Saccharomyces cerevisiae S288C: one gene and its partners. The gene in region 3 interacts genetically with the main gene of each other region. Each region holds a gene or a part of one and is shown on either strand. Other genes may lie near its edges. The genes, in order: PFS1, YHR140W, IRC19 and YDR222W.

Evidence for each region.
Region 1: mutations in IRC19 (region 3) and PFS1 together harm fitness more than expected from each alone (negative genetic interaction), as found in Saccharomyces cerevisiae (one large-scale study listed by BioGRID).
Region 2: mutations in IRC19 (region 3) and YHR140W together harm fitness less than expected from each alone (positive genetic interaction), as found in Saccharomyces cerevisiae (one large-scale study listed by BioGRID).
Region 4: mutations in IRC19 (region 3) and YDR222W together harm fitness more than expected from each alone (negative genetic interaction), as found in Saccharomyces cerevisiae (one large-scale study listed by BioGRID).

What each region holds. Positions count from the first base shown.
Region 1 is NC_001140.6:474,127-477,171, forward strand, and holds PFS1 (Pfs1p), read right to left. Parts: upstream 1,215-3,045; coding exon 501-1,214; downstream 1-500. Other genes in the region: SSP1 (Ssp1p), read left to right, coding at 1-333; ubiquitin-binding TORC1 subunit KOG1, read right to left, coding at 1,873-3,045. UniProt on the Saccharomyces cerevisiae protein: Involved in the pathway that organizes the shaping and sizing of the prospore membrane (PSM) during sporulation. Required to localize MPC54 to all four spindle pole bodies, and localize DON1 and SPO14 to four prospore membranes.
Region 2 is NC_001140.6:379,000-381,860, forward strand, and holds YHR140W (uncharacterized protein), read left to right. Parts: upstream 1-1,572; coding exon 1,573-2,292; downstream 2,293-2,861. Other genes in the region: SPS100 (Sps100p), read right to left, coding at 1-200; YHR139C-A (uncharacterized protein), read right to left, coding at 1,109-1,420.
Region 3 is NC_001144.5:71,800-74,633, reverse strand, and holds IRC19 (Irc19p), read right to left. Parts: upstream 1,226-2,834; coding exon 533-1,225; downstream 1-532. Other genes in the region: YLL032C (uncharacterized protein), read left to right, coding at 1-364; putative AAA family ATPase RIX7, read left to right, coding at 1,488-2,834. UniProt on the Saccharomyces cerevisiae protein: Involved in sporulation and maintenance of the mitochondrial DNA. Is probably involved in a pathway contributing to genomic integrity.
Region 4 is NC_001136.10:908,137-911,822, reverse strand, and holds YDR222W (uncharacterized protein), read right to left. Parts: upstream 1,770-3,686; coding exon 522-1,769; downstream 1-521. Other genes in the region: GTB1 (Gtb1p), read right to left, coding at 2,385-3,686.

The DNA of each region.
Region 1 (3,045 bases), on a different chromosome or scaffold from region 3:
TCTGCGAAAGAACTTGAGCCCGATCAATTAGTTGAACTTCTCGCTCAGGAAAAAGAAGAGAAAGAGGCAAAAAATATCAGCTCTTCAACTGCAGAAGTTCCATCGATATCGCAACCTGAAATAAAGAAGGAGAATCTCGAATCAAATGATTCCTTGATTTTAAGAAGCACGAAAAGAAATGTAAATGTCAATGCCGCTAGTTTGAGGAATCTTTCCATTAAAAAAACTCAAGTCAAACCGGAGTCTGCAAGTGAAGAAAGCAAAGTTCTTGCTGCAGCTTTAAATGATGCAAAACAAAACTTGGATGAAAACGTCTGGAGAACTCCTATCTAAAAAACAAACGAATATAGTTTGAACACTCATTCCATGTTCTATGCTTATTGTTGTACATTTATTATTTATATATTCTTAAATATATTTCGAGAGATCTATACATAAACATCAATTTATTATAATTCTACACAAAATTACATTTAAATATTAATGGCTTTCTTCAAAATTCAAAAATCTTTTTGAGAAAATTCATACTCCTTCAGATATTGGTTTCTTATCAACGCTTCAATTTTTTTCTCTTGAATATATATAATATCAGTATCGGTTAAAGCTTTAGAATAATCCGTCTCCATACATGATGTTTTCTCGAATGTAAATTCTGTCTCTTCCCAATCCAACATATATTCATAATCAAAGCAGTTTGTAAATAAATAACCGTCGAACCCCACAAAAATTGGTAATCTTTCAAGCCAGCTTTCAACTTTTTCGGAACAAGGCATGTTTTGTGTTGTCCGTGGACTGAAATATGTCGGAATTTCAAATCCATTATTCGAATTATGTAAAACACTCCAGTTACTAAACTTGACATCTTGGCAATTAACTTTTTCAATGTGATTTAAATAGGATAAATAAGGGTTTGGTAATGGTAGCGTACCGTGGGGATACAAATTTGGCAAACAATTGATTGAAGAAAGCTGTGGTGACATACTGTCAGTAACTCTTATTGGTTTTTCGTATGCAGGCCACTGTTCGTGTTGTCGTCTTCTTAACGCTGGATTGAACTCAGGAAATGTTGTATTCTGTATCTTCCCGCAATCTGGTGGTATCTTATTAATTATCTCAGCAATCGGAGAGCTTCGAAAGTTGTTCATTTTATTTAGCTTCGATGTTTTAGTCTCCTTCAGTTCCGGTGCGGAAAGCTGTGTGTAACCTTGATTCATTTCGATAAAATTTGCGTTTTTATAAAATTCCCAAAAATACTGACTATGGTAGAAAAGATTTCAACGAGGAAGGTGGTAAAGATCAATGAAGTATCTTCAATCATTATGTAGGTTATAAGTAAATGTTTTTGTTTTCAATTATGTTCCATAGTTTGTGGTAGTTTTTCTTTGAAAACGACTGTGTCGGCCAGAATTGCTGTCGCATCACCAAAAAAAAAAAAAAATGATACAAAGACTGGGGATGAATGTTACGTAAACAGGAAAAAAAATATGTCGAAGGAGAGAGAAAAAATATTTAACAAAGTGCATGCCTCTAAACGTCGTAATTGGTCTGGCTATGACAAACAAAAAAATCGATGTTAAAATGTTCCAACCGAGGATCGAACTCGGGACCTTTGCCGTGTGAAGGCAACGTGATAGCCGCTACACTATTGGAACAGACTTTTAATATTCTGAACTTTCTGCTTTACTAAACATCGTATTATTATACGAACATGAAACAATAATTAACAACAAATTCCAGAACTTGCGACCAGCTGTTAAATTCACAATCAGACCAATTTTTTACTCGACTTTTATTATATAATAGATTATATATATATATATATATATATCTCTTTTGCAGCTAAATGAAAGAAAAAAAAAGAAATGGCACATATCAAAAATAATCAATTCTCTCGTCTTCACACTTGTAGATATTTACAATAGAATCGTGAGAATTGGTGGCCGCAATCATCATTCTATGAGGATGGAAAGCCATCGAAGATAAAAATGCATCAGAAGTGGAAGAGTAGGACAGTGACTTTGGGATTCCCGTAGCGGCTAATGTACTTGTTACGCCATTATTATGTGAGTTTTTAAAAGAATTCAAAAGATCTCCAGATGTCGTCCATATCTTTATTTGTTTAGTCCCTGTCGCAATTATCGGAGCATGCTCATGAACCTGCATGCACGTCATTGTCGTTGGTTTTTGTTGCGAACCGTACTGAGAAGTTACGTTTTGATCAACAAACGATTCTACCGGATCTTCGGACCTTATATCCCATAACTCTACAACACCATTGGTAGCTCCACTGACCAATTCTCTGTAACCACCTCTTTGTAAATGAACATTGTTAATCCAAACTCCCTGCTTATCATTTCCAGCTCTCCAGCGACGTATCATGGAATCTCTTGGATCGAGACGGCGATCATATACTCTCAGGGAGCCATCTGCAAACCCTGCTACGAAGATATTACCTGCTAGCTGATCAGCCGTCAAGGATGTAATTAAAGATGATGTTTTTGCAGGAATGTCCACTTCAACCGTTTCTGTATGCGCATCCCAGACACGGATAACCTTAACATCACCAGTTGTTAACAATGATCCTCTTATTTGTAACCATTCGGTTAGTAAACCTGTGGATCTAGGTGTCAATAACATATCGGTCAAGCCTCTCCAGGCGGATACAATTTTAAAGGTGTCGACATCTTGGTAGTCTCTGTATATTTTGATAACACCGTCTGAAGAACCTGTCAATAAAAGGGCGGAGTCATCCTCGTTAATGAGTTTCAGGTCAGTAACTTTTGTGCCAAAAGGAGTACCATTGGAGAATTTGGACAAAGTCTTTCCTTTCTCCCAATCAAAAACTGTAATGGTACTTCTATCATCTGCAGTAATCAGCTGATCTTCAAACTGGGCAAACTTCATCAGTTTTGGTTGACTTTTGTTATTTAAACTAATCAATTTTTTGGACCAATTCCCATAAATCGATAATTTTTTCTCCCCCTGTGTTTCCTGGATAATAGTTTCATTTCTGTTACGTCTCCACAATCTAGCATTATACTCAAC
Region 2 (2,861 bases), on a different chromosome or scaffold from region 3:
TGAGTGATGTTTAAGGTGGAAGTAGAGTTGAATAGCGTTGTGGTAGTAACGTTTGACTGGCTACCAGATACAGCAGGTCCACCCGTGATGATCACGGGGACCGTACCGCCGCCAGAAGTAACGTTCTGCCTCTTGTAAAGTGGTGTTGCAGAAGCTGTTAAAGTTGCAAGAAAAAATGCTAGCACTGATGTGAATTTCATAATAGCTGATTGGGTTCTTAGATGTGAAAACTGATCGAAATCAAATACTAGAGCATGATTGATAGGAACAAGAGAAACCAAAAGTGTTTTTAGCTTTCCTCCCAATTTTTATAGTATTCTAATGAGTAACGTCTTAGGGGAATTTTCAACAAGGCATTTCTAAAAGGGGATGCTAGTTGCACATTCTGAGAGAATCATTTGTACACGTTTTTCCCTATTTTCTGCTCATAAACCGAGGATCATCAGCGTTAAATGTAATTGCTAAGCCAAGAACTTTTGCTACTCTAACATTACATATTTGAAGGGTACAGTGAGATTCCCCAACAGGAATTCGCTTCTGTACATCAGCCGGTATTCGCTGAGAACTACTGTAGCCCTTAACTGTTGAATGATCTTTTTCTGGTAGATCATCGGCTTCTTTTGACGCAGGAAAAGGCCCGTGTCACTTCGGCTTAGCTTCTTTCGGCGATTTTCAAGGGAAGCGTCTGCACCTTAACGCAGACAAATGACGCATGATATGCACCCTTAAGGCGGACTTGATCTTCAGATCCCTCAAATGGTAAATGTGCCATAAGGTGGCCAAATTCCAACTAAAAATGATAAATAGGTAATGAATTGTTCACTATGCAGCGTTGCCACCGTTACGCCTCCCCCTTATTTTTCATTTCCGTTTCCATCCAGTTTTTCAGCCTCCTTGAACCCTACCATTAGTAATGGAAGCAATAATCTCATAGCAGCAATTGAAAAAAAAAAAGCATATTCGCTCACATTAAAATAATGAGATAACATGAGATGGCTTGGAATTATAAGCGTTCGCTGACCTGAAAAAGGCGCGGGGCTAATGGACCCATTCGTTAAAATGACCTTAAGCATCCACACATGCAGAATAAAAGAACTTAACCTATTCCTTAGGAAAGTTTATGTATTTGCTGGTACCCTCTTCCTTCTTTGGCCTCTTTTCTGACGTGAATGTCACATGTTAACATTTTTGTCAAATAGCGTCCATCTATTTGAACAAATGCTATCATTTTTGGGGATACAAATTCTATAAGAGGTTCCTGTTTGCAGCATCTAAAAACAGAGCGTGAAACGCATGCAGAAGTGACATATAATCCTTTGTTTAAGCGACAATTAAAAATAATGATCGCTCTCTTTTCCTTTTCAGACTTGCTCATTAAATTTGACAAGATCCGCGGATTAGAGAAGTCTGCGCTTCGCATTTAATGAAAAGATCTCCGATAAGTATATAAGTCCCTTTTTTCTCGAATTATATAAGTCACTTTCTATATGTCAGTGATTATCTCTACACTAGTCTTGCTGTATTCTTAGCAAATTTTTCTCGTATTTTAAAACCATAATACAAGGAGAATCCATGATGTCTTGTCTGGTACCAACACGTTTTACTTTGACCCTTAACACCGCGTGTCTTTTGACGAGCACCTGGGGGTTTGTTAGGGCCACATCTGTAGTCTTACCTCCAAGTTTAAGTAAAGCAGGCCATAAACAGTTTCTAACCATTATATCTATTATTGCAACAATCATTAATAACGCGGTTAACATTTCTAATTATTATATCCAAAGAAACAATAAGATGAATCTAGAAACCAAGAAAAAATCAGACTTTATTAGTAGACATGTCACTTTGCCAGTTTCTTTAGTATTAGAATCTATTGTTGCTACCGTTTATTGGCCGCTTAGATTGTTTTTTGTCAACTTAATAATGCATGGAGTTGAATCTACTGCAAAGACACCTTTTCCTATGACAGTGGATATGGCAATCCACTTATATCCTATTTTATATTTACTAGCCGATCACTACTTATCGGGATCTGGCACGAAATTCAAATTATCGAATAAGCATGCATGGCTCATTGTAACCAGTTTAGCATTTTCATATTTTCAATATTTAGCATTCCTGATAGATGCGGGGCAAGGCCAAGCCTATCCATACCCGTTTCTAGACGTGAACGAGCCGTACAAGTCGATTATATTTGTTGTTGTTGCTACTATTACGTGGGCTTATTATGTATTTTATCAAAAGTTTCCGCCAAAATACATCAAGAAGTCGGCAAAGAAAGGTGATAAGAATTAGCATTACTACTAGTATACTACTATTTAAGCTCTTTGTATGTAAAGTGAGCAAATCTCAAATTTTGCTACTTAATTCTTATTTTCGTGCTAGCCCTACAACGGAACCCAAAAAATCAATCACCAGGGTAAGCGGGAAAAAAAAAAAGTGTAGGAACCGCACTATAAAAAGTCGAAGGTTTGTATTAATTTTCCACACCTCTTTAGTTTTGTTATAATCAAATTCCTTTTGGTTTTTGTTTTAAAAAGGCCAACATCATAATTATATCGCGAATGTACTACTAGTATATGCAGTTTTCTTAAAATTGCAGGGAATGACTAAAAGCCCACGTTTTTCCCACTTTTAGTAGTACTGAAGCGTAGATAGATTGAACGTTGCTGGGCGCCTGGTGTTGATCATTTCTGAAATGAGATATTGGGAATCAGCTGTATCTACATTTTATTTATACATATTTATTTTTACTGGTTCTTAGTAACGTACTTTAGTAGCAATGCTGTGTTTTAGTGCGAACGCCTACGTGTCTTGTTAACTTATCATGGTTGCCAACGCGAACGTTTACAACAGGTTCAAAG
Region 3 (2,834 bases):
GGAAACACAAAAGACGAAAATAATATTTAAAAAAATAATTAAAAAATTTGTTCTAGGGTCTGCCTCCAGCAAGAGTAACACCAGTAATAGCAATACCAATGGCAATTTCAGATCAATGAATAATGCCAAAAGTCGTACGACCATCGATAATACCAGCCAATCAGGAGCCTCACCACAACGCCACAAAATGCCTGTTATAACGACGGTAGGAGGAGCCCAAGCCATCAAAGGATATATACCAAACACTTATTACAACGGATATGGGTATGGATACGGATATACATACGAGTACGATTATAATTATGCCAACTCTAATAAAGCTCAAACCAATAATAGGCATAAATATCAAAATGGCAGAAAATGAGAAGGAAAAAAGTTCAGTAGTATTGTAACGTTCTACGCACCTTTTCAATGGATATGCACACCACAAAATATGTCATTGCGCATATCCGCATCTATTACAGTATTTGATTGATATTTTACCATACATACTAAAAAGCTCCGCTCCGCTCCTCTTTTACGATAATGATCTTTATAACCTTGTACCTAATGTCTCATTGAGATATATCAATGTTGTATCGAAATCACTAAATACTTTGAAAAGCGGAATCTTTTTCTTTTCGGTTTTATTTAGCTTAGTTAGCGGACTAGAAGTAGTTTTCAAATGAGAGAATTTGACGTCAAGCTCATCATGGCCTATTCCTCTATGCAAAATCGATCTGTACTTTTCATATTGCATTGTTAAAAGGTTCTTTAAAATTTGCCTGCAATATGTGTTGTCCCTTGCAATATCCCACTTTTGAACTTTTGTTTCGGGCAAGTATGAACAGCTCTTCAGAACAAATTCCAAGGTTCTTTGCATCTCAGTCACGGGGAGTATCCTTTCACAACATTTCGTGTTGCTGAGAAGCTCAAGATTGATTTTCGACCTCAAGCCATCAGGATTGAATACCAAGTATCGTTTGAGTTCGTAGTTTTCTTTCATAAACTTATATCGAACATAATCCCTGTAAGTATCTTTAACCATTTTCACATTCGATATGAAAGGCTTAAGCCTCATAAATCGGCGGTAAAATAGCTTAACAACTGTACTTCTCTCAGGTGAGTCTGCATCTAGCTTTTGAAAACGTGAAGGAAGTTGGTATTTAGAATGCGATTTAATAAGAGTATAGTCTGGAGTTATAATAGCTTTTGCTGTTGTTATCGTAATAGAAGGCTTACGCATTGTGTTATCCGCTTAACTGCGATTAACATGCATACGTATGATATACTCGAGCTAGTCTCATAAGCTTTCTTCATATATGGTTGTCATGGCAAACTTCGATGTTCGTCGATAGTGACAGGTTCCAAAATTTTTCATTCAGCTCATCGCATATTTTGGAAATTCAAACAATGATTAACAACCGATGTGTGAATTAATCTGCGAGTCAGTTAGAATAAAAGATCATTAGGGCCGATAATAGCTACGTGGTGGGAAGGCTGGAATAATGGTTAAAGTAAAGTCGAAAAAGAACTCATTAACAAGTTCTCTAGATAACAAGATCGTCGATCTTATCTATCGTCTCTTGGAAGAAAAAACTTTGGACAGAAAAAGGTCTCTGAGACAAGAATCCCAAGGAGAAGAGGGCGAGAACAACGAGGGTGAAGAAGATGAGGATATATTTGAATCCATGTTTTTCGCTAAAGATTTAACAGCAGGTGAGATTTTTACCTTTTGTTTGACTAAAGATTTATCACTTCAAAGAGTTAAGAAAGTTGTCTTACAAAAGACAATTGACCGCATGCTAAAAGACGTGATTGAATCAGAATTGGAAGAATTTGGTTCTTACCCAGGTTACAACAACGAAGAGGAAGAGAAACCAAGCTTGGAAGAAGAACTAGCTAAGAAAAATATGATGATTGAGCGAGACACAAATGAGATGAACAAACGCATAACTAGCACGTGGTCCAAATCTGGATCTGTTTCCGAGTCTATAACAGAAACTGATGATCCTAAGACAGAAGAGGTTAAAAAATCTAAAAAAAGATCCAAAGAAGGTACATGTAAGGTAAAACGTCAAAAAATCAAGGAAGATAGATCTCCACCTAATTCGTCTCTGAAATCCTTAGGTGGTATGGATGATGTCGTTGCACAACTTATGGAACTAATAGGTCTACCCATTCTTCATCCAGAGATATTTTTATCCACGGGTGTCGAACCACCTAGAGGTGTTCTGTTGCATGGCCCACCGGGTTGCGGTAAGACGTCGATTGCTAATGCGTTAGCTGGAGAATTACAAGTCCCATTTATATCTATTTCTGCACCTTCAGTCGTAAGTGGTATGTCTGGGGAAAGCGAGAAAAAGATTAGGGATTTGTTTGATGAAGCGAGAAGCTTGGCACCATGTCTTGTTTTCTTTGATGAAATAGATGCCATTACACCAAAACGTGATGGAGGAGCCCAAAGAGAAATGGAGAGAAGAATAGTTGCCCAATTATTGACCTCAATGGATGAATTAACGATGGAAAAGACAAATGGAAAACCTGTTATTATCATAGGTGCCACGAATAGACCTGACTCTTTGGATGCAGCATTGAGAAGAGCAGGTAGATTCGATAGAGAAATATGCCTGAATGTCCCGAATGAAGTCTCAAGGTTACATATTTTAAAGAAAATGTCTGATAACCTAAAAATTGATGGTGCTATCGATTTTGCCAAATTGGCAAAATTAACCCCAGGCTTTGTTGGCGCTGATTTAAAGGCTTTAGTTACTGCTGCCGGTACATGCGCTATTAAAAGAATTTTCCAAACCTATGCTAATATAAAATCCACACCAACTACGGCAACGGACAGT
Region 4 (3,686 bases), on a different chromosome or scaffold from region 3:
TCTCAACTGATTGCTTCACTTTTTGAAAGAGGAAGAAGGACAAGAACTGGATTCACAAACTCAACTACATCTCGGTTTATCCGTTTAGACCAAGGTTTTATATAAGGCGAGGTAGAGTTCGGAAAAGGAAACTTTCATCGACTTCCCTTAATGATTATTGATTCCCCTTTGCTTTCTCTCCCCAACATTTGAAATATGATTTCTTTTTATTTCGAAAATGCCATTCTTCTCGTTCCCGTGATGTTTTCAATATGCATGCGGCAAGGGGAACATGATATTTCCGTTCTATGGCTTACGCAAGTAAGAAGCATGGCGCAATGATGCAATAGTCCATGGGGGAAAGTGTGGCCTCAAAATGAAAAAAAAAAGTGATGATAAATTAGTTATTAGGTAGTGATTATGTAAAAAAATTCGATTACACATTAATTATTAGGTAAAGTTGGTAGAAGAAACAGGAGAGAAAAAGAAGAGAAAAAAAAGGACAAAAAACGAATTTCATGTGGAAGTGTTCACGCTTTTGTTCAACTAATGAAGGTGCTCTCAACGATAGAAATACCTTTCTCGTGCTTATATTTAGAAGGTTGACAGTATTGATAAATGAAAGGTTTGATGCTCACAATTTTCTGAGCTAACGACCTGACCATGCTTGGTAACTCACCGAGAACGTCGTATCGATTAACCAGCCTCAAGTCGTGTTCTGAAAATCCACCGGGGAACTTGATAGAGGTTGGATATACCCAGCCGCTTTCCTTATCTGTACTCGTAGCACGGAACCTAACATGACGTTTTGGGCTCTGCACAGAAGAACCAATAGATATCAGTTTGTTTTTTTCAGTAATTGACCAAACTGTTACGGTGACGTTATCATGATCTCGAGGAGTAGTGAATTCAATTGCTAAAACAGAGTAGTTTTCGCTCTGAAAACATAGGAAATTCCATTTACTGGCTGCTTTATTCGGCAAAAGACCTTGAACAGCGTCCAGATAAACGACAGGAACATCAGTTAATGAAATATTTTTATTTTGAAAGTCCCCACTATTGAGTTTTTTATCGTAGGAAATATTACCATTACATTTACCTCTGGGCACAAAAACATGTCTGATCATTTTGTCTGAGGAAACGAATTCGTCACTCATCGAGATTTGTTTGTCAAAATAATAATTGCAACCGTTGGGGTTCATCTTAAAACCTTGAAACAAATCCACCAACAAATCGATTTTCAAATTTTGAATTGTATTGTTACATGTTGGTAAATCACATTTGATAGATAACTGGCCAATGGAACCTAATTTTTCATTTTTGTTGCTCAAAAATTCAAAAATAACATTTCTAGAGACAAACTTTAATGGTTGAAATTCAGCTATGTCATCCAATTTAAAACTTTCCCAAACGTCGTAGTCAGTATTATTACTTTCTGAGCCAAAAACCTTGAAATTCAATTGGAAGCCTTTATAGATACCACCCATAACCGTAGAATACAGTAATTGAACAAATCCACACAAGCCTGTATGCAAATCTGTGAAATATAACGTTTGGGTCTCGACTCTGGTCTCCATCGATTTTTTCATCACTCTGAATAAACCTCTACCACCATCTGTCTTGTTACTTATGGTGTGTTGGTAGCCCGTTTCACTATCATTGTGACAATACCACTCCAATGGTTGGATGTCATTAATAAGAGTATAGTTCTTACTCTTACTTACCGGTTTTTTGTAATCTACCTCTTTAATAGGCGCAAACTTTATCTTATCACTGCTCGATTCAAGCATCACTAAATGAGTCTCTATGTATGTACGATGTATCTTATACGCCCTCACTGTCAAGAAAAGACAATACGAAGTACGGCGGCAATTGTCACTCAAGAAATTTCTTCATTTTTATATGACTATACATCGTAAACTCAAGCCCAGAGAAGTGAGTCTCCAGTAAACACTGTTCGTTATATCCATCACATTTAAAATCCGTAGGCTTAAGATTGCCAAAACATATGCATACAAATTCCAGTAGTAAACATGATTTTGGAATTCACTGTAATAATCTGTGAGACATCTTGGAAACCGGAAGAACAAAGATGAGAAAAAAAAAAAAAAAAAAATAAAAGCCGCATAAACATCGGCTAGACGGAAAAATTAGCATTACGTCTATGACTTAGTTCTCCGAAAAAAATACAAGCCGTGTGGGGTGATTACGCCGTACCCTTCTTTTCGCGTTATTCCAACAGGTCGTACAGAACTATCAGTATTTGGAACGATATACTTATTTATCGTCTTTTCGCGTTTTGGCCGAGGGAAATATTGCTTTTGTTGCGGAAAAGAGTATCACGGCACAGCATCGGCCTTCCTAGTTGTTTACTTACTAAAAAAGCCTAACTACTCATTTTCCAGTCATTCACTTAAATTGAACTTAGGGGGCTCGTATTCGAAAGTCTTGTTGCAGCCTAGAGGACCAACGACATCGAAGATGTAGTTGCACTTAGTCGCTTCATGTACACTCCGAATCTTGAATTTGTCGCTGCACCGAACAAATACAGTAGCCGATCTGCGCGGACCATTCCAGCACTGGTCTCCATTTTCGTATTCTAGTACCAGACCATTATTCAGTTCGTTTAAGTTCCCGAATACGTAATGTTGCATGTTACCGTCATCGTCCTGTATAGCTGCTAAGTTTGAAATCAAATCACTCTTCTCATCATATGTGGCCTTTAAATGTTCTGCGTATTTTTCCATGTTTAAGTCAACATTAAAACCTGATGTCTTAAAACGACCGATCAAAACTTTTTTACCGTCAACCTTATCCTCAGCTTGATATATGACACCTTCGGTCATTGGACGTTGAAAGCATATAGTGTACACATAGTTGTCCAGTATGTCGTCAAGACAATAGGATTGTGATCCCATTAGTTCTAAAAGCTCAGTCAGATTTCCTGCAGTAGAATTAGTTCCTTCATCTTCAGTTTCATCTAATAATTTCTTATAGTCCATTTTTTGCTTTAATTCATTCTCCAGGAGACTGACTTGACTTTCACAAGAGCGGAATCTCTTCTCTAATGAGACCAAATCTTTTCTAGATGAAAAAATATTCAGCTTAGATAGAATCTCTTTGAGTTTATTGCGCAAATCTCCAGAAGTACCGATATGATCGCTGTTCGTATCTTGTTCTGACTCAACAGCGTCTGGTGGCAATACCTTTGGTGCATTCTCGTTCACAAATGATGTTACTTCGCTCAACGATCTCAAAAGGCTCTCTGACGGGTGAGCTGGTTCTAATTCAGCCAGTTCGCCGTATTCACCTAGGTAGTTTTTATACGAATCGACAGCACTTTTGACCCCTGCATCTTGAAAGTTAACATTGTAATTCTGAGAAATATCATCCATAATCAAACGGAATTCTCTGATATACTCCAAGATATCGTTGGTATAGTTAATTTTACCCTCCACTAGCGCTTGAACAAAATTGGATTTTCCTATGACGTACCTCAACGTGTTCTCAGATTCTCTTTTCAAAAAAATTTGAGGTACTTCTTCTGTAAAGTACAAGTAAAGATTATCTGCCTGCTCATCATCAATTTTGCTATCTGCATTAATTTTAGCCTTTTCAGCCCGTCTTCTAACTTTTCTGAATTTTTTAATATTATCATTGACAACTTTATCATTTAGCGAGGGAGTATAGGCCTCTGATAAATCACT